Linked DNA regions of Diceros bicornis minor. The protein of the gene in region 3 interacts with the protein of the main gene of each other region in a pairwise test. Links are inferred from orthologs where the notes say so. Each region holds a gene or a part of one and is shown on either strand. Other genes may lie near its edges.

Region 1 (7,799 bases), on a different chromosome or scaffold from region 3:
ATGAGAAAGTTCAGATCAGCTTCTTTCATATGAACCAAAATGGAAGCAGCTCAGGTTCTCATCAACAGGAGACCGTCAAACACACAACATCATGGATGAACGTCAACACTATTAGTTGAGTGAAAGTTGCCAGATACAAAAAGCAGATACGGTAGGATTCCACTTATATAAAATGCTAGAACAGGCAAAACTAACCTATAGTCAAACAAAACAGAACAAAGCAAAGAAGGCCCATTGGCTAATTGTGGAATCTCAGTGGTGGGTATGTGTGAGTTTGCTATACAAGTTTTTCTGTCTGTTGACACATTTGGGGACAACAAATGCAGACACAGCCAGACTGATCTTTCTCTAGCACAGGCTCCATTGCCCTCCCTGCCTGCATTGAAGCATCAGTCCTCATCTGGAGACATCCTGGGTCCCACGGATGGCTCTGTACATTGGTCTCACCATCCAAGACGGCTTCCCTCATGGCCTGGTGCCCCAGGGGACAGCCAGAAGGCAGCGCTCAGGGGACAGGGATGTCTGGGCCTCTCCAGCAGGGCAGCTGGCCTTCTTACATGGCCACTCAGGTTCTGAAAAGCACAAAAGTGAAATCTCCGGGGCCTTCTTAAGGCTTCAGCCTGGAACCGGCTGCCTCACTTCAGCTGTACTCAGAATCAGGCTGGCCCAGAGGGCGTGTGGAGGTGACTGGTCAGGAATGCTGGGGACCCTGGAACTCCTGCAGGAGCCAAGCTTCACCAAGCAGGACCCAGGCCTCAATCCCCCTGCATCAGGGAAAAATGTGTGAGAGAGAGACTGAGGGAGCAGGCTGGGCTTCCCCCCAGAGCCAACCCACTCCCTCCTCCCACTTCCTTCCTACTCAAAGTGCTGCTGTTTTCCCCTTTGTCCGAAGGCGAAGGCGCAGTCACTGGGGCTTAATGCCAGCAGCTGCAGCTCTTTAAAGGAAAAACACCCTGAAAATCTGATAAATGCCATTTTCAAAACTGAAGCCAGAGACCAGAGAGGGTGTGGCTTGTGGTGGAGAGCAAGGCAGAGGAGCCCGGATTAGCCCTGGCCCAGACACCAGGCTGCCCCTCCCCAGATGAGGCGCACCAGCCCCTCATCCCCTGCCTCATGCAGGCTAGGCATTGGCCAGAATGAGGGTGAGAGGTGGGGGCCAGGCTGGGGGAGGGGGTGGGAGGAGGCCGCCCTGGAAGAGAGGGGGACAGGGGAACGCAGCTGGCTGGCGGGGAGCTGGGGGAGTCCTGGCTGCACTGCCTCTGCTTACCCTCCCAGCTCCTGTCCCTCCATGTGTGTGCAGCCCCTCTCCTGACAAGGCCACTCAGACAGGTCACCACTCCCATCCCAAGGACACACACCCAAGTACAGCTTCCCAGCCCCACCAGGCTGCCAAAATGAGACTGTGTGGTTGGTTCCACGTTGTGCATCTCTTCCTGCAGTTCCCCCACTTGGACCTTCATCTGCTGGGTCCTTCCCACCTACCATGTGAATGTTCCTCTTCCATGGAGTCCCCTGATCCCTGAGGGACATACAGCTTCCCCGCTCAGCGCCTGAACCAGGCCTCCTGTCTCTGCTCCCGCGGGTTGTCGGCTCCCCCACACAGGGGCGCCTTGTTCTCCCATTGCGCAGCCTCGCACCTGACACTAGTGGTACTCCATAAATATTGGGAACGGAATGATTGGGAGACTGTATGCTCCTGGTTTATCTCTGACGTCCAGGTGCCTGGCAAACCGCAGGAGGTCAGTGTTGCATCACTGGACGCGTGTGGATGTTTTCACTCTTCCTGGACCAGGGACCTCAGCCCCAGCTTCATCTGCGCACTGTAGGCTGCCTCCAAATCTGTACTCCAGCCCCAGCCTCTGTTTAGATCTCCAGGCTGCCTGTTGATCTGTCAGGTTTCGGAGCAGGAGAGTGAAAGAGTCAGAGCTGGGAAGGAGACAGAAACAGATGAGGGCAGAGGACACAGCCTCTCCCTTTGGGGAAAGTAGGAGGATGGAGAGACAGAGACAGGCAGAGAGAAGGAGGAGGAGCTGGCTCACACCACGCAGGATGCCTTTTCCAAAATGGAAGAGCGCTTACAAGGGAGCAAGGAGAGAGCCTGCTCCCTGCTCTCACGTCTGCTGGAGGAACCCCTAGTCCTGCTGCATGGGGGTGGGGTGCGGGCTGGGCCCTGGCCAAAGGTCCCTGGCTGCCCCCTGGGGCACAGTCCTACCCCACCAGGACCCTAGCTAACTCAGCAGGCTGTTGGCCACAGGGATGCTCAGAGGCCACTAGGACTTGTGCAAACAGGTGTTTGCTTCCCTGGGCCCTGGTCCTCTGGGTTTGTAGGGAAGAACAGATAATGGGTTTGCTGCCTGTGAGTAGCTCTGCTGAGGCTCCCCCACCACAAAGGCATTGACTCCTGGCTCTGCTAGTGCCTGCACTGGGAGCAGGGCTCTGTTTTGATTCCTAAAGCTGAGTTACTCCCTCTCTGGGAAGCAGCAAGCAAACCACGGAACTTGCAGGGCTTCAGCTGCAGCATCTGTTAAATGGGGATAACAGCACCTCTCTCGGAGTTTCTGTGAGGAGCAGAGGATTGAAAGGGACTGAGGACGCTCAGGGCAGGGCAGCTCAGTGAGGGCAGGACTTGTTAGTCTTAGTTTGAGACGCTGGGTGAGGAAGGCGCCAGCCCCGCCACTCTCAGAGGGATAGGTGCATCGCAGCATTTTCAGCAGGGAAGTGACGTGGTCAGATTCAGGATGTGGTGGATGAATTGGCCTTTTCTTTCTTTTCCCCAATACTGCAGACTCATTCCTGCCTGAGGACTTGTGCCTGGCGTGTTCTCCCCCAGGCTTTGCACCGTTGGCTCCTGCCTACTATTTAAGTCTCAGCGCACCTGCCTGCCTCAGAGTTCACCCCGACCACCTCGCCTCTGCCTGTTGCATCATCTTACTTTAATTCTCTGCATGGCACTGCATGAGCAGGGATCTTACTATCCTGTTTACCAACATATCTTGGCTCGTATCGTGCGGACCACCGCAGCTCAACAAATATTTGTTGAGAGAATAAAAGAACGAGACAATAAAGCCTAAACAGAGTGGCAGCAGTGGGGATGGAGAAGGGATGGAGTAAAGCAACATTAAGGAGGTAGATTCTTGGCCACCCATCAGAAGAGGGCATAAGCATCTCAGGTTTCTAGCTTGGGGACAGTTACTGAGTCCAGAGTCACAGACAGAGAAAGGAGCCTCGGCTCCTCTCTTCTCCAGAGCACTTTGGTCACAGCTGCCTCGCCCAGCTCCAAAGTGGTTGAGGAGCAGGTGACATCCAAGCTGCAGTGTGGCCAAATCACTACCAGAGTGTGGAGGGGTTGTTTGACTCTGATTCACTGCCTCTCCCTCTGCCCAGTAACTGCTGTGTCACTGTAGGAACTCCCCCCTTTTTACCTCTTCTTTGCATTTATAAACGAAAGCAAAGTAACTGGACCTCCCTGTGAAAATCTAGGAGAACTTACTTCTCCGTGACTGTGTAATTGCGGGGTTAAAACAGGGCGGCAGGGCTGGGTGATAACATCTGAAGAGCAGTTGAAGAGCGAATGGGGGTGGGAGATTGGCACAGGAACCCCTCCTGATTAACGGGGCCCTGCACTTGGGACATCTGCAGGCACCTGGGGCGCGGTTCTCCCAAGCTGGTGGCAGGCAAAGACAACTGAGCCTTGCGCACTGATTCAGCATGCTTCCTCCTGGCTGGCTGCTGAGTCAGGCCTGCAGAGCTCGCGATGCAGCAGGATGAGGCCAGGGGCTCTCTCTGACCTGGAAGTACTGCCCTTCAGGCGGGGGCTGGAGGTTGTGGCACTGCAGCCCGGTGTGTGCGCGGGCGATGGCGCCGGTGGGGTGCGACAGCAGGGAGTGGCATCTCTGCTCTTGCAGGCACTAGTGGTTAAGCATCCCGGTCTCTCTTACCAGACTGAGGTGCAGTTCGTGGGAGGCCTTTGTGGCTGACGGGAGGGCCCCGAAATTCCCCTCTATTTCTGAGGCTGCAATGGTCCTGGGGAGAGGGAGTAACGAGATGGGAAGGCGCAGGGGTCTGGGGTCCCGGGTCTTGACCAAAGGCTGTAGGTTTTCCTGGAGGAGGGAGAAAGGCCTCCTGGCTTAGCCTAGCCTCTCAGCATTCTGTCCTCTGGAGGCGCTGGTGAGAGCCCTCCTAACGTGTTCTGGAAAGAAGCAGACGAGCACATGACACACGTGCATACGGGGTTGCCACACAGCGTTGTTCCTGGTATAGGAGGGAATGGACGGGACGCAGGGCTGACCGACCGGCCATGCTGGGCCGGAGCCGTCCTCAGGCCACACTCCCAACCGCGCGCCGGGAGGGACGACAGCCTGGCGCTAGGTGGTCGGGGGCAGCCGCGCCCGCGCGGGGCCACCCACGGCGGGCACACGCCCCGCCCCTCTCGTGGACAGCCGGCACACGCCCCGCCCCTCGCGTGGACAGCCGGCCCCGACCGCACCCGGTCCTCGGCTAGCCAAGCGCCGCGGGAGCCACCCCGGGCCCGCCCCCGGCATGACGTCACGGCGACGCGCGGCATTGTGGGGCGGGAGCGCCCAGCCGGGGGAGGGACGCGGAGACGCCATTTTCGGCGGCGGGAGCGGCAGAGCCGGAGCCGGCTGGGTGCGGGGCGGCGGCTGCGAGAAGGAGCCGCGGGGACAGCGCGGGCGGGCGGCCGAGGATGCTGCGGGGCGGCCGCGCCGGCATCCCTCGCTCGTGACCGCGGCGCCGCGTCTGAGGCGTCCAGGCGGCGGGCCCGCGCAGTCCCGCTCCGCGCACGCGCCGCGGCCTCCCGGTGCTGACAGCGCGAGCGCGCGGCCGGCGGAGCAGCACGGTGAGTGCGGGCGGGCCTCACCCGCGTCCCCTCCTCGGTCCCCGTCCTCACCCCTGTCGCCCTCAGGCCCTCTCCCGACCCCGCCCCGGGCCCAGTCCTCGGTCCTCAGCCGTGGTTATTCCTCTTGCCTTCCCGTTCCCGGTCCCCTCCCCGGGCCGCAGACCGCGGTCCTCATCCACGTCCCCTTCCTGTCCGCTTCCCGGCCCCCTCCCGGGGCCGCGGACCTCGGTCCTCATCCATGATCTTTTCCCGTCCCTGGCCGCCGCCCCATTCACGTCCGCTCCAGATTCGGGTCCCGTGCGCGTCTCCATCCCGGCTCGGGTCCCCGCCCCAGCCCCGCCCCAGCCCCGCATCCACGGCTTGGCCCTGCTGCGGGCGGGGGCGGCCGCGCCCGGGAACAGCTGTGGTCCCGGGAGCCGCGCGACGGGGGATGTGGCCGCCCCCGGGACGCGGCGGGCAGGAGGGGGCGGCCGGCCGCGTTTGCTTTGTCCGAATCCTCCCTCTTCCTTCCGGCCGCCGCCCTCTCCCGTGGCACCGCCCTGGGCGGGCGCGCCTGTCAGGCTCGCGGGCGACCGGCGGCCGGGCGGGTCGGAAGCGTGTGGGTTCCCCCGAGAGGCCGGCTCGACCTCGCCTCCTCGGCGATCCCTTTCTTTTAGTAGCAAGACGGGTAACCTTTCATCCTCAGTGTTCGTCTAAACTTACAGCAGCCCCAGTGCTGGAATATCTAGTTGGTTGTCAAATGTGGTGCATCTCTTTCCTTGAAAATATTAAATAAAGGACTAAAAAAGTAAAATTAGTGCCTGGTGGATTGGATGGTTTTACAATTTAAGGTTTGTAGATCTAGGTAGTTTTGTGTTGGAAATTTTATATTGTTGCTGCTTATTACTGTTTTTTTATTTAAACAGCACATTTAGAGTTTAAAGAGTACTTGCAAAAATGATGTTTTTAAAAAGTGTGAGAACAACAGAAAATTTGAGATACACCGTTTAACTGCTGGGTAAATGGGCAGTTGGTTCTTTGATTCTTTGCATTAGTTAAATTCCAAGGCTTTTTTTTGTACAGCATAACTGAGCCATTGATCAGAGTCATTAGCTCAGAATACATTGTAATAGTTCAGTGAAAAACCCATTAGGAAATTGGAACAACCTCCTTAAATCTCATAATCTTATTACAGTTCCAGATTTATGTTTTTCAGGCACTGGCCACAGGCCTTAGGGTGGGAAATTTGATTCATTGTTGTTTCCTAAGTATCTGTAAGAATGCAGTGATACTAAATATTACAAATTTCAGATTGTGTGGAATTATATGTGGGAGGGTAGGCACTCTTAAGAGCCGGTTTCTCCAAGTCATCAAAGAATGCAACATCATGTTGCAGTGGAGCCTGGCAGCCCTGTGCTGTTACGGAGGGGTGTGGAGGACCCAGGGTGTTAACCTCACTGCGGCCTGGCTCATTCACCTTGCTTGGCAATGTCTTCTAAAAACAGTGTAGACAGTATGTAGTAAAGGTAGAAAGACATGCACGGGAATGAGGACAGTGATAGTCTCCAGCAAGGAGGAGGGAGGAAATGCCACTGGGGAGGGGCATATAATATCTTAAATATTTCATAGTAATAAAAACTTAACTACAGTTACTTAAAGTTTACATTCTTTTTTAAAATTATACATTCTTAAGAATGTTTCATAATGTTGAAAGATAGATAAGTCAGTGTGTAGCTTTCCATATGGGCTATAAACTATCTTAAAATATAATTGTGTCAAACAAAACCCAAGAAATAGAAAAGTCAAAAGTTGAAAAAATGTAGAATTTTTATAACCTCCAAACATAGGTGGAATATGATGAGAAACCAGAACTTTATGTTACAAAGAAGTGATCAGTAATATTCTGAACAAGATACAGGAAAGTTTTAGGTGTCAGATTTCAGGGCATAGACTAAAAATGATTAGCATGTTAAGATTGTAAAAGCACAGTCTTAAACATCTTTTGAGAACCAAACGAATGGCAGGTGCTGTGTTAAGTAGTTGGGGATATACAGATAAGACTTCTAAGAGCTCACAGTCTGGCGAGGGAGATGGGAGAAGTTGAGAAGTCGACAGGTATTACAGATTAGGTTAAATACTGTGCTGAGTGCCCTGAGGAGGGGATTCCAGATATGAGACTGGAAGGAAAGTACAAATTGGCCAAATGACGGTGGGATTGGTGGTTCTGGAGGACATAAGCCCTGAGGTAGTGCTGCAGTAAAGGGGAGTGTTGGGAAGGGGTGTGAGTGGAAAGGTGTTGTACAGCCTGCATAAGGGGGTTGCTTTCACCCTGAGGGTAGGAAGGACGATTGGAGGATTCTAAGGAGAGAGGTGACATTTTAGAAAGAGCATAGGCAGTGTGGCAGGTGCTTTGAACCGAGATAAGACTAGTTAGGAAGCCATTAACCCCAAGTGAGGACTGTAAACTTTTGAGTTAGGGCAGTGACAGTAGGAACAAAGGAACAGATGTGTCAGAGAGGGATTGATGGACTAGAGTGGCCCTGAGTTGGGACTGAGTGGATTGGGGTAAGGGTCGGGCTGCAGGCAGGAAGAGACAGATCAGCAGTGTGCCCAGCCACAGCGAACTGCTAAAACATAAGGCGGGTCATGTCTCTCTGCTGAAGTTTTTGCCATTGTCCTGTAAGCACCCGCATCCCTGTCTCTTTCCCTCTTCATATTCTCACCCTCACTGAGGCACATCCAGGTGCATCCTAAGCCTGCTGTCCTGGGTGTCACTGTCCTCACTTCCCCACACACTCCCTAGTACTTCTTGCTACAATACTGTATTATTGTACTTAATTATTATTTAGTTTATTGTCTGTTTTCTCCACTTAACATCCATAAGCTCCACGAGGATGGGGATTTTTATCTGTTGTAGTCAGTGTCAGTGCTTGGCATGTAATAAGCACTTAATAAATGTTTA
Region 2 (7,737 bases), on a different chromosome or scaffold from region 3:
TGTGGTAGCTGGTGACACCAATGCCCGCGTAGACTGGGGCATCGAGAGCTCCCATCTCAGCAGCCGCGCACCCAGCACTGACAGGAACGACCGCTCAACCGGAGTGACTGAGGAGCACGTTCCACGCCGGCTCCCGGGGCCCCAGGCAATGGCACGCCAGTCGCCCAGTGTGGTGTCTTCACACTGTCCACTTCCTGACTTCCTTCCCTCTCACTCCTCCTGACAACGTCTCCTGGGATCATTTCCCCAAAACACGACTTGCACTCAGATCCTTGTCTCGGCATCTGCCTCCAGAAGAGCCCAAACGAAGACACCACGCTATCTAACGAAGCTGCCCCATCATTTCCCCACCCCGCTTTATCTTCCTTCAGAGTCACCACTACCCACAATCACGCCACTCGCTCGCACCCTGGTCAATCTGCCTGCCTCCGCCACCAGACTGACCGTTCGCCAGACTCCCGCACGCCTCCACCAGCGTCTGATGCATAGTCGGCGCTCAATGAGCATGATGGCTTATTTATAATATCTTCTATTGTAAGTATTATAAGTGTGCATAGATCCTCCGTCCCCTGCCCACCACCATTAACTAGCTTTCCTGGAACCTGCGCCTCATGTTTCTTTAGCCCTTCTCATTGAGTTCTCTGACAGACTGGCACAACCCACGGAGGCGCCCGAGGGTCAGAGGACCCCAGCACCCCCAACCTGGACACACTCAGGGCTTCCCTGTGGCCACCACTATCCTCAGGGGCTGCCAGCCCAGCCTGGGGTGGAGACTGCCCCCAGCTCCCCCTCCTCCCAGGGCCAGAGTCCATGAGGCACAGGGATAAGCCCCCTGGGCTGGGGATCTGGGATGCTGCCTCTCAGAAGCTCTATGCCGGGGCCAGTAACTCCACTTCCTTGAGCCCCGGTTCCTTTATCGCTAAAATGGGTCTGATAAGAATCCCTGCTCTGTCACCTCACAGGGGCAAATGAGATAATGGAAGCAGAAACACTGTGTAAAACATAAAGTGACAAAAGCAGCAGCTCCATTTATTGCACTCTTTCTCCATGCCAAGAAAACACGATTTCATTCAAACACAAAAATCAGAGGTGGGAACAACTGTTATTTACAATTTACACATGAGGAAACTGAGACTTAATAACGACGGACAGCTGGGGATTAGACCCAGCTCACCCTGGGTCCAGAAGGCTCAGGACAGCACTCTGGGGGTCTGTGAGGGAGGGGGGCTCTCCTCTCCTTTCCTCCGCAGGTGTAGACAGGCCCTGAGGCCCCAAAACTTGTTCCATCACAGTAATCATCATGTGGAAGGTCCACATGACAGCAATGGGAGTCGGGGACAAGGAAACCACCAATTAGGGGCCAGGAGGAAGCATTATTATCAACAACCTTCTCAACACCCCTGCCAGGTTAGAATTTTTATTCCCATTTTGCAGATGAGGAAACTGAGGATCAGAAAGGACAAGCTTGTCCAAGATCAGAGCAGGCAGGAGAAACTCCTTTCCACCACCCAGGGTGGCTGCCTCTTCCCTTCTCCAATTTCAGAGGGGCTTCTAAGATTCCTTCCCTTGCCCAGCACCCCTTCCCTCCCTCATCCCAGGAGAAGGCTGCAGAGTTCCCCCACTGGACTAGAAGTTCTGGTCATCTCAGATCATCTCAGAAGTTCTGGTCAAATCCCACAAATATTTAAAAGGTCTATTTTGGGAGCCAACAAGGGAGGGAGACGGTGCATCCCTGGCCTGGCCCAGCCCTAATGAGTCTCTGACCCCACCTCCACCCGCAGGCACCAACCCAAGCTCCCAATGCCAGTCTTAGTTTAGGAGGCGGCCACAGCTGGAACAGGAGTGGTGCAAGAGGAGGGGCAGGGCGGGCTCTCTAGGCCCAGACACGCTGGCACTCCTGCACGGAGGAACGCGGGCTCCCCTGGTGGAGCCCTGGAAGGCAAAGAAGGAAGGGGGGTGGGGTGTGACTATACCGTCAGGGCTTTCCTGGAGTGGGGAGTGGCCAGGTCAGAGGTGGTTGGCAGGGGGTGGGAGTGTGCAGGAGTTCTGGCTCCATATCCACCGGGAAGGTGTGTGTGACCCCAGGGAAGCCACTCTATTTTCCCTCGTGAAAAAGGAGAGACTTGGGCTGGGTTTCTCAGGCCTCAGGGGAAGGTGCCAGGTGACGGGTTCCCTGAGAGTAACCTGAGAAGGGGAGAGAAGGGGGGCCAGGCGAGGCCCCTCCCTGCCTCCCAGACGCCCCCGGGAGAGGTGGCGACGAGTCTGCCTTTCGCCTGGGAGCCCAGGGACTTCGGAAACCCAAGGGGGAAAGTGCGAGAGAAAACAGGTTTCAAAAACAGCCGAGACGCCAGCCTCGCCACCTGGACCCGGCCAGAGGAAGGGACGCAGGGGACTAGACAGTCCGATGTGTGCTGCCTCCTGAGAGCCCAGGCTGAGCCTCGCCCCCACCTTCAAGTAGATACCTGCGAACCTGGGCTCACACCTGAGTCGGTTTCCGGGAGCCCAGGAGTCGAAAGATGACCTCGTGGGTTGCACTAGGGGACCGGGCAAATGGGCTCCCGCTGGCCGCTGACCTCTAGGCTGGCGCGCAGGGGTGCGGGGATGGGGGCGTCTTCCAAGCCCCTGCACCGCCCCCTCCCCCGGGCACCGACGCTGAGCTCCTGCCTCCCCGAGCTGCCCAGGGCGGGGAGGCGCTGGGGGTCGCGCAAGTCTCTTCTTACCTGCAACCCCTCCGACTGCCGCCTGCCCCTGGGGACCGCCAGCTTCTGCCCCCCTCCCCAGCTGCACAGAGCGGGGGCGGGAGCGCGATGTGACCCCGGGCGACCCCCCACTCCCCAGGGCCGCAGGGCGCAGGTCAGGCCTCGCCGCTCCCCCGGGCGCCCGCGGGAGGCCGGTCCGCGCGCTCCGACCCCCGCCCGGCCCGGCGGACGCGCACACACTCACTCCGGTGCCGGCCGCCGCGCGCCCAGCTCTGCTTGGCGAGGCTGGGGCTCCGGATCAGCGCCCGCCCCGCGGACTTGAGCGCGTCCATGGCCGCTCCGGCGGCCGCCGCCAAAACTCCGGCAGGAAAACTTTCCGCCGCGGCCGGGCGCCGCGCGCTGCTCCGCGCTCCTCCTCCCCACGCGGGCTCCGCGCCGACGTCCGACGGGGCGGGGCGAGGGCCGACCAGGCCACGCCCACTGCTCCGCCCCCGACGGCCGGGCCCCGCCCGGCCCCTGCCCTCGCTCCCGGGACCTGGTGCGCCGCGCTCCCGAGGCTGTCCAAACAAAGGGCGCCCGTAAGGTAGTGAGCCGAAAGCCCTAGACGCCCCCCTTTTCCTCCCTGTCTCCAATCCTCTTATTCTCCACCCCATAGGAGGCTGAGGGCCCGAGAGCCGCCTCCGTCACCCCGCCTACACGGCGGCCTAGGATTTCTGGACAGCCCAGCTGAAAGATACTTGAAGACCATTTTACAGATGGGAAGACTGAGGGCTGGAGAGTAGGGTCTTATCTAAGAGACGGGAGGTGCACTGGGCAGTGGGGGGCTTAGAAGGAGAGGTTGAGGTTGTAGAACTTTGCTGAGAAGGGGACAGGAGTATAAAAGTTTGGAAAACCAGTGGTACTTGACTCACCCAGTGGCACCCAGGCTGCTCCCTGGCACCACCTGGGCACGCTGGGCTGCCCCTCCCCACCCCACTCCCTAAGTAGCCTCAGAGGTGGTGTGGCCTAAGGTGTTCTGCATGAGGAAAGGAGCCTTAGCTCTGACACTGACTTGCTGTGTGACCTCAGACAAGTCCTTCTCCTCTCCGGGTCTTGATCTTGATCTGTGAAAGGAGATGGGATCCTATCTCTAGTGATCCTTCCAACCTGGCAGGGCCAGGTGCTGCATGACCTTGACCCAGACCCTGCCCTGCTTGCCGGGAGGCGCTTGGAGGGGAGTCTGGATCCTAGAATTCCTCAATCGCAGATGTTTTAACTCCAAGATTTAGAATTCTCTCTAGGATCCTGTGCCTTCCCGTCAGGCTTTGTCAAAGGGAGTCAAAAGAAGGGCACAGCCCGGCTTCTTCTAGATGGGGGTGCCTCGGCAAGGTGACCTGAGCCTCTGGGCTTGCTCCTGGATCAGAAGGCAGGAGTCCTGTTCCTGGCTGGGGGAAGGACGGGTGTGGTAGCCCCAGCTCGAGAGGGAGGCCTCGCTGGTGTTTCTCTCTCGGGTTATAACCTAAGTGCTTTTTCAGCCCTTCTGTCCCTTGCTCCTCCAACAACACTGCAACAGCAACACACCCACTTTACAGATAAGAGCCTGAGGCCCAGGAGAGAGGCACTCACTGAGGGTCCCTGCCAGTCAGAGGCTGCATCAAACTCAAATCCAGGCTCCCAAGCCGGAGTAGAATGCCAGGGGTTTTAACCCAACTTTCTTTCTTTTGGTGTTGGTGAGCTCACTTTTTGAGCCTCATCTGTAAAAGGCGCCATAGTACCTATTGCAGAGGGCTGTCTGTAAGGATTAAATAGCATGAATTGGAAAGGCTGAGTCCTGTACTTGAGAACCCACCTATAAATTTGCCTCCTCCGGGAAGCCTTCCCCAACTACCACCCATCGGTTAGGCTTCTCCCTGTGGGATCCCACAGGCCTGAGCTTTCGGCGTTGCAAGTGTTGCTGCTGCCTGTTTCTGTTCTTCTCGCCCCCACTAGACTTTGTGTCCTTCAAGGGCAGTAGGTATTTCTGACTCATTTCTGAATCCCAAATGCCTAGCAAGGGGTCCAAATGGAGTTGGGATACAGTCAATGTTCCTTCCTTCCTTCCTTCTCCCCGCCCCCGCCTCTCTTCGGCTTTTCACCACACCAGGCTGTCCTCTCCCACAAAGGGCTGTGGCAATAGGCAGGTCGGTCCTCAGGGCTGAGCCCCCCAGCTCTCTTACCCCGAGCCAGCTGGGTTGTGGGGCAGTAGAGAGCATGCTGGGGCCTGAAGGAAAAGCAATCACCCAGGGCTGGCCGGTGAAGGGCAGCTGGTGGTGTCCGGCTGGCAGGGGGCACCATATGGGCCTGGTAAGCAGGCAGGCCTGGGAATGCTGTGCTGGCAAGCAAGGCTGTTTACAGGGCCATTGCATCCTCCCGGAGGTGTCTTGCTGGGAGCTGTCAGCCATGCGTCCCCCACAGAGGGGCAGCCTGCTTGTGTCCCTTCTGCCAGTCCCAGATACAGAAGCAGAAACAGAAGGTCAGAGCTGTGAGGGGCCTCCTCTGAGGTCACTGTATCCAAACCCTCATTTCACAGGTGAGGATCTTGAGGCCCAGAGAAGGGCGGGGACTTGCCCAAGGTCACACAGCAAGCCAGGAGCAGAAGCCAAGTCTCTTGCCTTTCAGCTTGGATGCTTATAAAATCAGAGAGGGAGCAAAGAAATCTTGATTTTTTTCTTCTCTCTCTCTCTCTTATTTTTTTTTTGCTTATCTCATCTGACTTTGTAAAAATTTCTACAGTGATCATATATCCTTTAGTAATCAGAAAGAAAAAAAAACAATAAAAGGGAGGGAGAAGCTACCTATGGGAGTAACTGGCTTTTGTCTTTAGGAAAATGGTGTCAGAACTGTAATCTTACTGTGTCCTCCCCCAGTGGGCCCTCGTGGGACCCCAGTGAGACAGTGGGTGCCAGGGTGTGGGAGGGCTCTCAGCTTCTCTCCAGCCATCACTCGGGCTTGCAGTGGGACCAGGACGGAAGCCGAGGCTGGGGTCAGGAGCCCTGGTTTCCTCAAGTGCTCTGTCCTCCCTGCTTCCCTGAGCCAGTCCCCTCACCTCAGTTTTTCCATCTGTAAAATGGGAATTTTTACTGCAACATGTGTGTTCTTAGCCTCCACTAGCAGAGCACAGTGGTGAACACAGGGATGCTGGAGCCTGGGATCCCATCTCCCCCACTTCTTTACTTCATGACCTTAGGCAAATCGTTTAATTCCACAGGCCTCAGTTTCCTCATCTGTAAAATGGGGCTTATACCTCATGGATGGTTATGAGGATTAAAAGAGTTAATGTTTGGGACGTCTTTAGAATTATGCCTGGCTATAATAAGTGCTAGGTATGTTGCATATTTTTTATTTTTTTAAATATATTTTTTTAAATTTTATTTATTTATTTATTTTTCCCCCCAAAGCTCCAGTAGATAGTTGTATGTCATAGCTGCACATCCTTCTAGTTGCTGTATGTGGGACGCGGCGTCAGCATGGCCGGAGAAGCGGTGAGTCGGTGCGCGCCCGGGATCTGAAGCCGGGCCGCCAGCAGCGGGGTGCGTACACTTAACCGCTAAGCCACCGGGCCGGCCCTGTTGCATATTTTAATAAAACTAAAATATGCAGGTTCCTGATGGAGTGGTTATTATGATCATAGTTCCTGACTAGCCCCCAGGGAAGGGATTGGAACCATCCTGGCCCAGTCTGAACTGTGGGTAGTCCAGCCTCACCCCAGAGCCCCCCACCCCCACTTCCGACTGGTGGGGTAAGGCCGCCCCCAGCCCCTTGGGCCCAGGTCTGAGACAGCCCTCTCCCAGGGAACCAGAGGGAACCTGGTGAGTCAGAGCCCCAGGGATTCCTGCTTCGATTCAGCTCTGCCCTTTCACCCAACCCACAGGGCCTCTCCTGCCTGCTGGGTCCTGCTGACTCAGCAGCCACAGCCCTTCCCTCCTCAGACTCTTTCCATACTGCTTCTTCTTCCAGAAACATCCCTAGCCATATTGCCTCCTCAACTCCCCAGCCTCCCCACCTTTGCTCAGAACATCTAATTGGCCTCCTCCCCAGTACCCACAGTCACAGCTACCCACATACCTATCTTCCCTCCCCAACACACACACACACACACACACACACACACACACACTCACTCACTCACTCACTCCTAGACAACAAGGGTTTGACCTTAGGGTTGAACATACCTGGGCTCTAAAACCAAATCCTCCACGTATGTATATGCAACTGTAGCTAGCTGGGCCTCAGTTTCCTCATCTGTGCAATGGGGACAATACCTGCCTTAGAGGTTTTGTAAGGCTTCTGTGGGGTGATATGTGGGAAATGCTTAGCCCAGTGCCCGGCATGTGGCAAGTGCTCAGAAAATGGTAACTCTGGCTATCATTCATTTTTTATGGTTATTGGTGAACCTGTCTGCTTCCCAGCCAGCCCTGGTGGTTAGGTGGTTAAGATTCAGTGCTCTTACCACTGGGGCCTGGGTTTGTTTCCTAGTCAGGGAACCACACCACGCATCTGTCAGTGGTTATACTGTGGCAGCTGCGTGTTGCTGTGATGCTGACAGCTGTGCCACTGATATTTCAAATACCAGCAGGGTCACCCACGGTGGGCACATTTCAGTGGAGCTTCCAGACTAGACAGACTAGGAAGAAGGACCTGACCACCCACTTCCAAAAAAATTGACCATGAAAACCCTATGGGTAGCAGCTGAACATTGATACAAGGCCGGAAGGTGAGAGGATGGCACAAAAAGACGAGGCAGGGTTCTGCTGTGCTGTCCACAGGGGCGCTAGGAGTCGGAATCTACTGCCAGCACTAACAGCGGCACACTTGCCTCCCCAGCAGCTGAGCGTCCCTCAAGGACGGGGACTGGAAACGTCCTTCACCCCAGGGTCCCTGGAGCAGCTGACCAGTGCCTGGCAGGGGAGGTGCCCAATACACATCCAAGGACTTAAGTTCTGTCCGCTGGTTCTCAGAGTGTGCCCAGCAAGTGAGGGACCCGCTGCAGCACCTGTAGGGGCTGGAGGAGGTGCCCCTA
Region 3 (7,972 bases):
GACCAGAACATACTCGCAATTCCTTGCTATGGTTATCACGAGCAAGGGGTAATTTGCTCTGCTCAAGGCTTTTTTAAAAAAGCTGCAGATTCTGTCTGCTCAGAAGGCCGCAGGCAGCTCAGGTTACCCAGCTCTGACTAAGCCTTCTTGAGTAGAGTGGCCGGGGACACAGGAGCTACTCTGCAACATGAACATGCCTGCAGCGGGTGACGTTCCAGCTTTTGTGTCACCAGACACACATCTGTGATCCCAATTCCCTGCCTAGAGAAAGGAGCCGATCCTCAGTGCATAGTAGTCTTTTCCACAAAATGGAAAATGAATGTCTGCTGGATTTAACAAATGAGCTAGAATGCCAAAATGGTAACAGTACTGGCCCTTTCCTTTAGTTGTAATATCACCTGAGGTCTTTCCAAGGGCGTCCTATTAGCATCTAATCACAGCCTAGATACTGGCTAGCCAAGCATTTGTTTGCTTTGTGGCTCTCTGCTCAGGAAACTCTGTGCAGCTTCTCTTAATAGCTGGGGCAATGGTGGGTCTCAGCCTTGAAGGCAGTCTCTTCTAGACAACACACGCACCCCCACCTCTTAGTCCACGGGAGCGGAAATGGAGGCCAGAAGCACACTCGCTTGTGGCTGCACTTGAACTGCGCAGAGCAGAGGCCTAATCCATGCACAGCTAATTTTTAAGGTAGAAAGTCGTGACTCTTAGCCTTAAGGTTGTCCATCTCGGTTTTCTCCTTTTAATTCTGTCTCATCCACTATGTTGACCACACAGGTACAGGATGAAAGAAAACAAACCTACTTGCAATCTCAGTTAGGCATCAAACAGCCACTGAGAGTGGTCAAAGAAGTGGAGGGTGCTGCCCAGCACTAGGGAGGGAACCATAGCCCCATGGCCGGGTGAGGGGAGCCCCAGAACTCCAGTCTGGGAGTGCAGCTCTCTGACCTCCCAGAGCAGCATGGCACGGAGAGAAGAGCCCTGGTGAGGAGTCAGGGTGGACTGGGTCCTGGCCTGGCTCTCCTACGGCGCGAGACCGTGGTCCAGCCACCCCCCACTTCTCAGAGCCAGTTCCCTCCCCAGTAAATGCCTAGGGCCACTCTGAACTCTAAAATCCTACAAGCTCTTCCATCCCCTTAAGTTGAGAGCTTTAAATCAGTTTTGGTGGAGCCTGGCACCCCAATCAATAGACAACAGCCTCTTGACAGATACACAAAACCCAAAAGCAAAATAAACCACCTTAAGTAGGAACGATACAAGGCACTGTTAATTTTTATAAAGATGCTTTAAACCAAACTAGGGCATAAATCACTCTGGTTTAAGAAAAAGCTCAAATATTGGAACAATTTTCTATTTCTATCTAAAGTCAAGAATGTGTTACGCCGAATTAATTGAAAAGGAATTTAGCTCATTTAATAAGAAACTTCCTATTCATAAATCAAAGAGCATCACCTAACGCCTGGAATGACAGAACGTCAGGGCTTAGAGATCATCTAGGGCAACTGACTGATTTGGCTGATGGAAAATCAAAATACAGAGCAGGCAGGCGACACAGACAAGGTCACAGAGGCAAAGCAGGGATGAGAACCCACATTCCCCGAATCCGTTTGGGTCTGGCACCGCAGTCAGGGCTAAATATTAGATGGTGAATGAATGAAGTTAAGTGGTATTCCCTGCACGGTGCTTCTAACTGGTTCACAAGTAAGTGATTTCCAGGTTATGGAGATATCTAGAACACAATCAAATATTTCAAAATTCTACTTTTAACTCCTGAGAAGCCAGAGTAGAACTTCTCAGCCTTTTCCACATAAACTAACAACCTTCCCAACCGAGGGAACCACAAGGCAGAGAAATGATCTCCGGAAACCGGGAGTCTTTCACCTAGTGCCAGAGGAGCAGCCTAACTGCGGCTTTTGTTATGTGTTTACATCAATTCCCAAATTCGCCTATGTCACACACCTTCAAAACAGGGATTAGGGACAAGGAAAAGGCCTTCTGACAACAGACCTCTTCCGGCCGCAGAACCATAAGATCAGAAATCTCTCTTCTGAGAGGAGAATTTAGAATTGCAGCAACCAGAGGTAGTAATTGGGGCCTAGGAAAATGGTTTGCGAAAAACACACACAAAAGCATAAAACCTGGCATCTGGAATGAGAGGCGAGTATGGAGGGGAAACGGAGGCCTGGCCCGAGGCTAAGGGCTGTTTAGGCTGCAAGCTCCCCCGCTGAGGCCAGGGGGTCCTGGGTTCCAGCCTGGGCTGGAGCAGCAGGCCAGGAGGAAGGGGGTGCCAGGGCTCATCCCTTGTGCCGGGCTAGGGGCTCCGGGGCAATGGGGGCCGTGCTGCGATGGGCGGGGGGTATGAAGACCAGGCAGGAGTCCCCGGCGAGGGCTAAGGCGGGGCGGGGGTTCCCGGGCGAGGGCGGAGGGCGGGGTCCCCGAGCCGGGGGGGTGGGATATGAGGACCAGGCGGGGCTGAGGTCCCCGGACCAGGGCTGAGGGCGGAGTCCCAGGGAAGGGCCGGGGGGTGTATGAGGACCAGGCGGGGCTGAGGTCCCCGGGCGGGTTCCCGGCGCGGAGCCGCGCGGCCGGCCCACGCACCTCCTCGGCCTGCTTGCGCAGCGCCTTCTCCCGCTCGTACTGGGTGAGCAGCTGTTCGTTGTCCTCGCGCAGCAGCTCCAGCTCCACCTCGTGCTCCTGGTTCTCGCTGAGCACCGAGTCCAGGTTCTCGAGCACGTTGACCACGAGCGGCATGAGCTCCTTGACCACCTCCTCGTCGTAGCAGTGGATGAGGCGCTCGAACTCGCGGTAGATGGAGCCCGCCAGGCCCGACACCCGCTCGGACATCACCGAACCCGAGCAGTAGTCGTCCTGGTATACCACCACACCGCCGCCCTCGTCCATCTGGATCTCCATCATCGCGGCCACCGCCGCCGCCAGCGCGGCCCGCTCTCCGCCGGCGCGCCCGCCCGCCCCGGCTGCCCGTAGTCTGCAGGCCGCGGCCCGTCACCGCCGCCGCAGCCGCTGTCGCTGTCGCTGTCGCCCGAGGGCTCAGCCGCCGCCGCCGCCGCCGCCGCTGCTGAGGCTGCGCCCGTCACTCAGCGGCCGGAAGTCCCGCCTGCCAGGCAGAGGGGGCGGTGCCCGTCCCGCTGGAGCTCCGCGACCCCGCACCGCTAGGGGTCGCAGGGGCCGTGACGTAAGAAGAAGCCTGTCTCCTGGCCGGAAGCTCGGCCGAGCGGGGCAGGCGGCGCTTCCGGTCAGGCGTTAGAGCTGTTTCCTGCTGCGGCTGTCGTCTTTAGCAAGTTCCTTCTGGCTCCCACGACACTGTCCCGGACTTTGAAAGACGTAGCTTATGTCCCGCAGTATATATAAACGATTGTGTACGGCTTAGAGACTTAAACGAGCATCCGGTGCCCACTCTCCCTGCAAAGAAATGGACGTTATCCTTGTGCGCACCTCCCTTCCCCCAGGGTGACCATGATGAGCTGGCTAACTGTTCTGCTTCACCTTTATAGTTGTACTACACAGTAGTGCATAGTCCTACTCAGTAAGTTTTCAGAGCTTCCTTTCAAATAGTGCCTCTCTACCGTCCGATTGTCCCTCCTGGGATTCCAGTTAAATGCAAGTTGCCATCTCATCCTAAAATCCAGTAACGAGCTTTTAGTCCGTCTATGTCCTGCATTTTGTATAACTTCTTCAGATTTCCCGGTTTTACTTCAGCTATGTGTTATCTGTTTAACTCATCCATTGAGTTTTTAATTTCAGTGGTTAAATTTCTATTTGTCCTATTTGATTTTCCTATGTTCTACCAGTTTTGATAGGCTCTTATTTCTTCCACTTTCAGCTACTGATTTTAAATCTCTTTAGTAAGCTTTTTTTTTTTGACATCTAATTACAATTATCTGCAGGCTTTGCAGGTCTGATTCTGCAGTCTGTTCTTTTGGTTGACTCTTGCTCAGGCTGCTCCTCCCCTCCCTTCTGAGCTGGTATTCCTTGGAACTTTATCTATGGAAATACTTTGAGGCCTGAATTTAAAATGAGTCGCTCCAGAAGATTTGCATTTTCTTTCACTGGCATCTGAGGACACCATGAACCCAGGACTTAGACTTTCAGCTTGGGGGCCACACAGGTAGTGTGAATTCTGATTTACAAAACCCATTAGTAAACACTTAATGCTGATAGAAATGCTCTTACTCCTTTCACCTACTGAAATGCTTCAAGTTCAGTTCATCCTCTCATCCTAACCTGACTGTACCAAATCAGTTAACTATTGTACACATCTCTCCCTTGCAACCTAATTTGCTGTATGGATGCTCACCCACCCTAATAAGAGACAAACTGAGGTTTCAGTCTCAGATTCAGAGTGCCTGAGTTTTGATCCTAGCTAAGTGATTTAATCATCCTAAATTTCCATTTCCAAACCTGTAAAACTGAGCCTAAAAATATTACCAACCTACCAGGACTGTTATAAAGATTAAGTAAACTAATCCATGAAAGAGGCTTAGCACCATCCAGCAAATGAGCATGCAATATGTTATGTAGAATTGTTAGTTTTATATTCTCAAAATGATAAGCCAGGACAAACAGATGAAATGTTTAATTTTTGCTGGTGAACAAGTTATAGAGAAAGCCTGTGAGTGTTTTGGGGAATGTTTAAGACTTCTGCCTTAGGCCTTTTTCAGAAATTTGACCCCTTTGTATTCCTGAAATAACAAATACAGTAGAGCAGCCCCCACTACCACAGTGAGAGGCCAAATGACTTGGCCATCAACTTGATTAATTTTTATTATTAACGTGATTGGGCAGATTTGTTATTTGAAATTGGTTAAAATAAAATGAAGTTTTAACAAGATGATATGCTGGATAATTCTTGCTGACTGAAGAATGCAAGTAGTACACTCCTGAGAGCTCAAGATAACTGAGTTAGAACTTACTTTTTAAGAAAGAATAGGCTTCCCTTCAGATTTGTAAAGATAGTTTGAGATAGAACTTTTCCTCCTTATAAGACCTTAAAATGTAAGAGGAACACACAGGTTTCATAAGTTCTACTTTAATTTCTAAGTATCTACCCCTAATGCTTGCTAAAAAGTCACCTTGGTCCCTGTAATGTCCCTCTCATTTCTTTCTAAGTCGAATTTTAGATAGCACGTTGTAGTCACACATAGAACAGGAATATTTCATTCGGGATTTCCAAGTATGCTAAGGATTAATATAATGAGTTCAAAACAAATGAACTGGGTAACATAGGTATATACATCCTTGCAAGGCGTGACTCACAAAGAAATGTTATGCCTCATCAAAAGCGCCAGTGTATTTCTGGACAAGGCACAGGACTGGAGGCAGCAACCCTTGGATGTTACTCACTCCCTCACCAGAACATAGCGGGAGCTACCTCAGTCCTTTCCGGCTCAGCCATTGTCTGGCTTCTGGAGACAAACAGGTTGTGACACTCTGAGACCTCAGTGCTCGCCTGTGCCTGAAGCGGCTGCTACAAATAGGTAATGTAATGTTGCCAGTGCCTAGCCCAGTTCTTGGAACATGCTCTGTACTCCCCAGCACGTTTTCAGATGAATGAATGAAGACAGCGTCCAGTAACCCATGTTCCCCACGTAGGGTTTCTTTCTGTAGTGCTGTCCTGGTAGCTGGCCCAGTCCAGCAAGCAGAATGGTGTGGAGCCTCCTGTAAAGGGTCTCCAGGCAGGCAGTCTGAGGAGTCTCATCACCCTGAAATTATGGAATGCACATAAGGGTATCAAGTTTCCCTGTAGGAACGTGAAAATAGCTAATATAGAAAGAAAGACCTTCAATCTGTGCATTCTCTGCAGGACTTGACACTACAGGCAAACCCTGCCAGCGTAGCACCTCATCTTGTCATTACAAGGCTCGTCACTCAAAGTCTCAAAGCCAACTCAGAGGCAAATTCAATACCTTCAGTTCTGGGCCAGCCCCGTGGCTTAGCAGTTAAGTGCGTGCACTCAGCTACTGGCGGCCCGGGTTCGGATCCTGGGTGCGCACCGACGCACCGCTTCTCCGGCCACGCTGAGGCCGCGTCCCACATACAGCAACTAGAAGGATGTGCAGCTATGACATACAACTGTCTACTGGGGCTTTGGGGAAAAAAACGAGGAGGATTGGCAATAGATGTTAGCTCAGAGCCCGTCTTCCTCAACAAAAAGAGGAGGATTAGCACGGATGTTAGCTCAGGGCTGATCTTCCTCACAGACACAAAAATACCTTCAGTTCTTTAGGAAAACAAGCGGTGTAAGAGAAAAAAGATCATTACTTTTAACTTACAGAAAGTAAAAAGAACAGGGGCATATTCCCACTCATTCTACTCTAAGTTTTTGGTTTTCAAAAGAAAAGAACCTTAAATCCATAACCTTTGAGAAGATTAATTTGGGCATCCTCTGACTAAATGAAAAAAAAAGAAAGGAATAAAAAAAGGCAAACCCTGTCACCAATGAAAAGCTGAAAGGGAAGCAGAGTTCAGGCACTTTGGAAAATGGATGTTGAGAAAATCATGTGTGCATGCATGCACACACACACACGCATGCACACACACCAGGCAAAGACTTTGAGTACATGATTGCTAAGTTTAATTCAACTGTTATACCCAATTCTGCCTTGTAAAAATAATAAAATGTTCTTATCAAAATTACATTGCAAGTGTGTACAGGTTTGGTGTTTTGATACAGCTCCAGAAAAAAGTTGGCACCAAATGCACATAAAAAAATTTTAAGGCTTAATAAAAATACAACCTAGTAATTTCTCAATGCAGCTTAGAGGTTAACAGGATGCTAAGAGTTAATGAATCATCCAAACACAGGCAGTCCCCAGTGTACAGAGCATTTTCCCAATACAAATGATTACCCCCATCGGGCTCACCTGAGCAGAAACTCCTCTTCTGCTTCTCCCAGTGACCAGACTAGTCAGGCACTCTAACCCACTGCTGGGGTCTCAGGAAGAGAAACAAGGGGGGGGGGGGGGCGGCGACACAGGGAGTTCTGTCACTGCTGCCCAGAAGCTCTTTCTGTGTTCATGTTTTCCTCATTCTCATCTCAGGTTTCTCCCATCTCCACCGAGATCCCTGCCAGTGGACAGAACTGGAGCGCTCTTCCTCCCACTGGCTGACAGTGAGGGTGGGATGAAGCCACAAGGGCCAGCACCACAATGCAGGGTTCTTCTTGGCAATCCAATTTGGAATTCACAAATCATTTTCTTGTACAGTAAAAAACCACAACAAAACAGTTATAAATGGGAGTTCATTTCTACCATCAGAACATTTTAAGTTAAACAAGTTAGTGTGTTTGGGCTTAAAAGCTAACCATTTATAACATTTTTTAATGGGTAAAAAATCCTCTGAATTCCAAAAACTTGCTTGTAAATGACCATTTGAAGGATGGAGACAGGAAGTACTTGATAGAGTCACATAAAATGAGTGTTTCTTGGCTCCAAAGTCAGAGGGCAGTTGAAAGGACAACTGTCTTTGGTTGACAAAGCCACATGCAGACCCCCTCAATGTACTGGGTGTGAGAAGTGGGGCTTGGCAGGCAGCACCTGTAGGCACTTAAGTGTCTGGGCCACTGTGAGTGCAACTAAACACAGCTGTTGCTTTTCGAAATTTTAATAATGATGAAGATATTTCTAGCACTTGGCATTAGCTTTGTAGGCACTCATACCTATAGCTACCACCACCCAAATCCTCTCCTGTGAACTGTTGGTCCAACATGAGTGAAGTGTAGGAATTGAGACTGTAGCCCTTTAGAGCCTGCATGGAACAAATTGGAAGCAAGTATCTTTGCTGGCAAATATCATGGAATTGGCCACTTAAGATTCTGCTGCCAAACTACTTAATCTCCTGGCCTAAGGTCTCAAAGTCTCTTCCGGAAACTATGAATATGGTCCAGAGATTCTGCAAAGCTTTATAAAGCGTAAGCAAACTTTTCTTCCTCTTTGGTATACCTGAGCAACTGACTTTT

Evidence for each region.
Region 1: the proteins of MAPK8IP3 (region 3) and KLC1 interact in binary tests that used the Homo sapiens proteins (3 or more experiments, as listed by UniProt). The link is inferred for Diceros bicornis minor from reciprocal best matches to the Homo sapiens genes MAPK8IP3 and KLC1.
Region 2: the proteins of MAPK8IP3 (region 3) and LDLRAP1 interact in binary tests that used the Homo sapiens proteins (3 or more experiments, as listed by UniProt). The two-hybrid records come from large-scale screens. The link is inferred for Diceros bicornis minor from reciprocal best matches to the Homo sapiens genes MAPK8IP3 and LDLRAP1.

What each region holds. Positions count from the first base shown.
Region 1 is NC_080763.1:48,267,862-48,275,660, forward strand, and holds the start of KLC1 (kinesin light chain 1), read left to right. Parts: upstream 1-4,710; 5' UTR 4,711-4,858; intron 4,859-7,799. UniProt on the Homo sapiens protein: Kinesin is a microtubule-associated force-producing protein that may play a role in organelle transport. The light chain may function in coupling of cargo to the heavy chain or in the modulation of its ATPase activity.
Region 2 is NC_080752.1:41,574,778-41,582,514, reverse strand, and holds the start of LDLRAP1 (low density lipoprotein receptor adapter protein 1), read right to left. Parts: upstream 3,096-7,737; 5' UTR 3,032-3,095; coding exon 2,944-3,031; intron 2,666-2,943; exon of another isoform or gene 1,974-2,665; intron 1-1,973. UniProt on the Homo sapiens protein: Adapter protein (clathrin-associated sorting protein (CLASP)) required for efficient endocytosis of the LDL receptor (LDLR) in polarized cells such as hepatocytes and lymphocytes, but not in non-polarized cells (fibroblasts).
Region 3 is NC_080765.1:46,694,944-46,702,915, forward strand, and holds the start of MAPK8IP3 (C-Jun-amino-terminal kinase-interacting protein 3), read right to left. Parts: upstream 3,005-7,972; 5' UTR 2,914-3,004; coding exon 2,596-2,913; intron 1-2,595.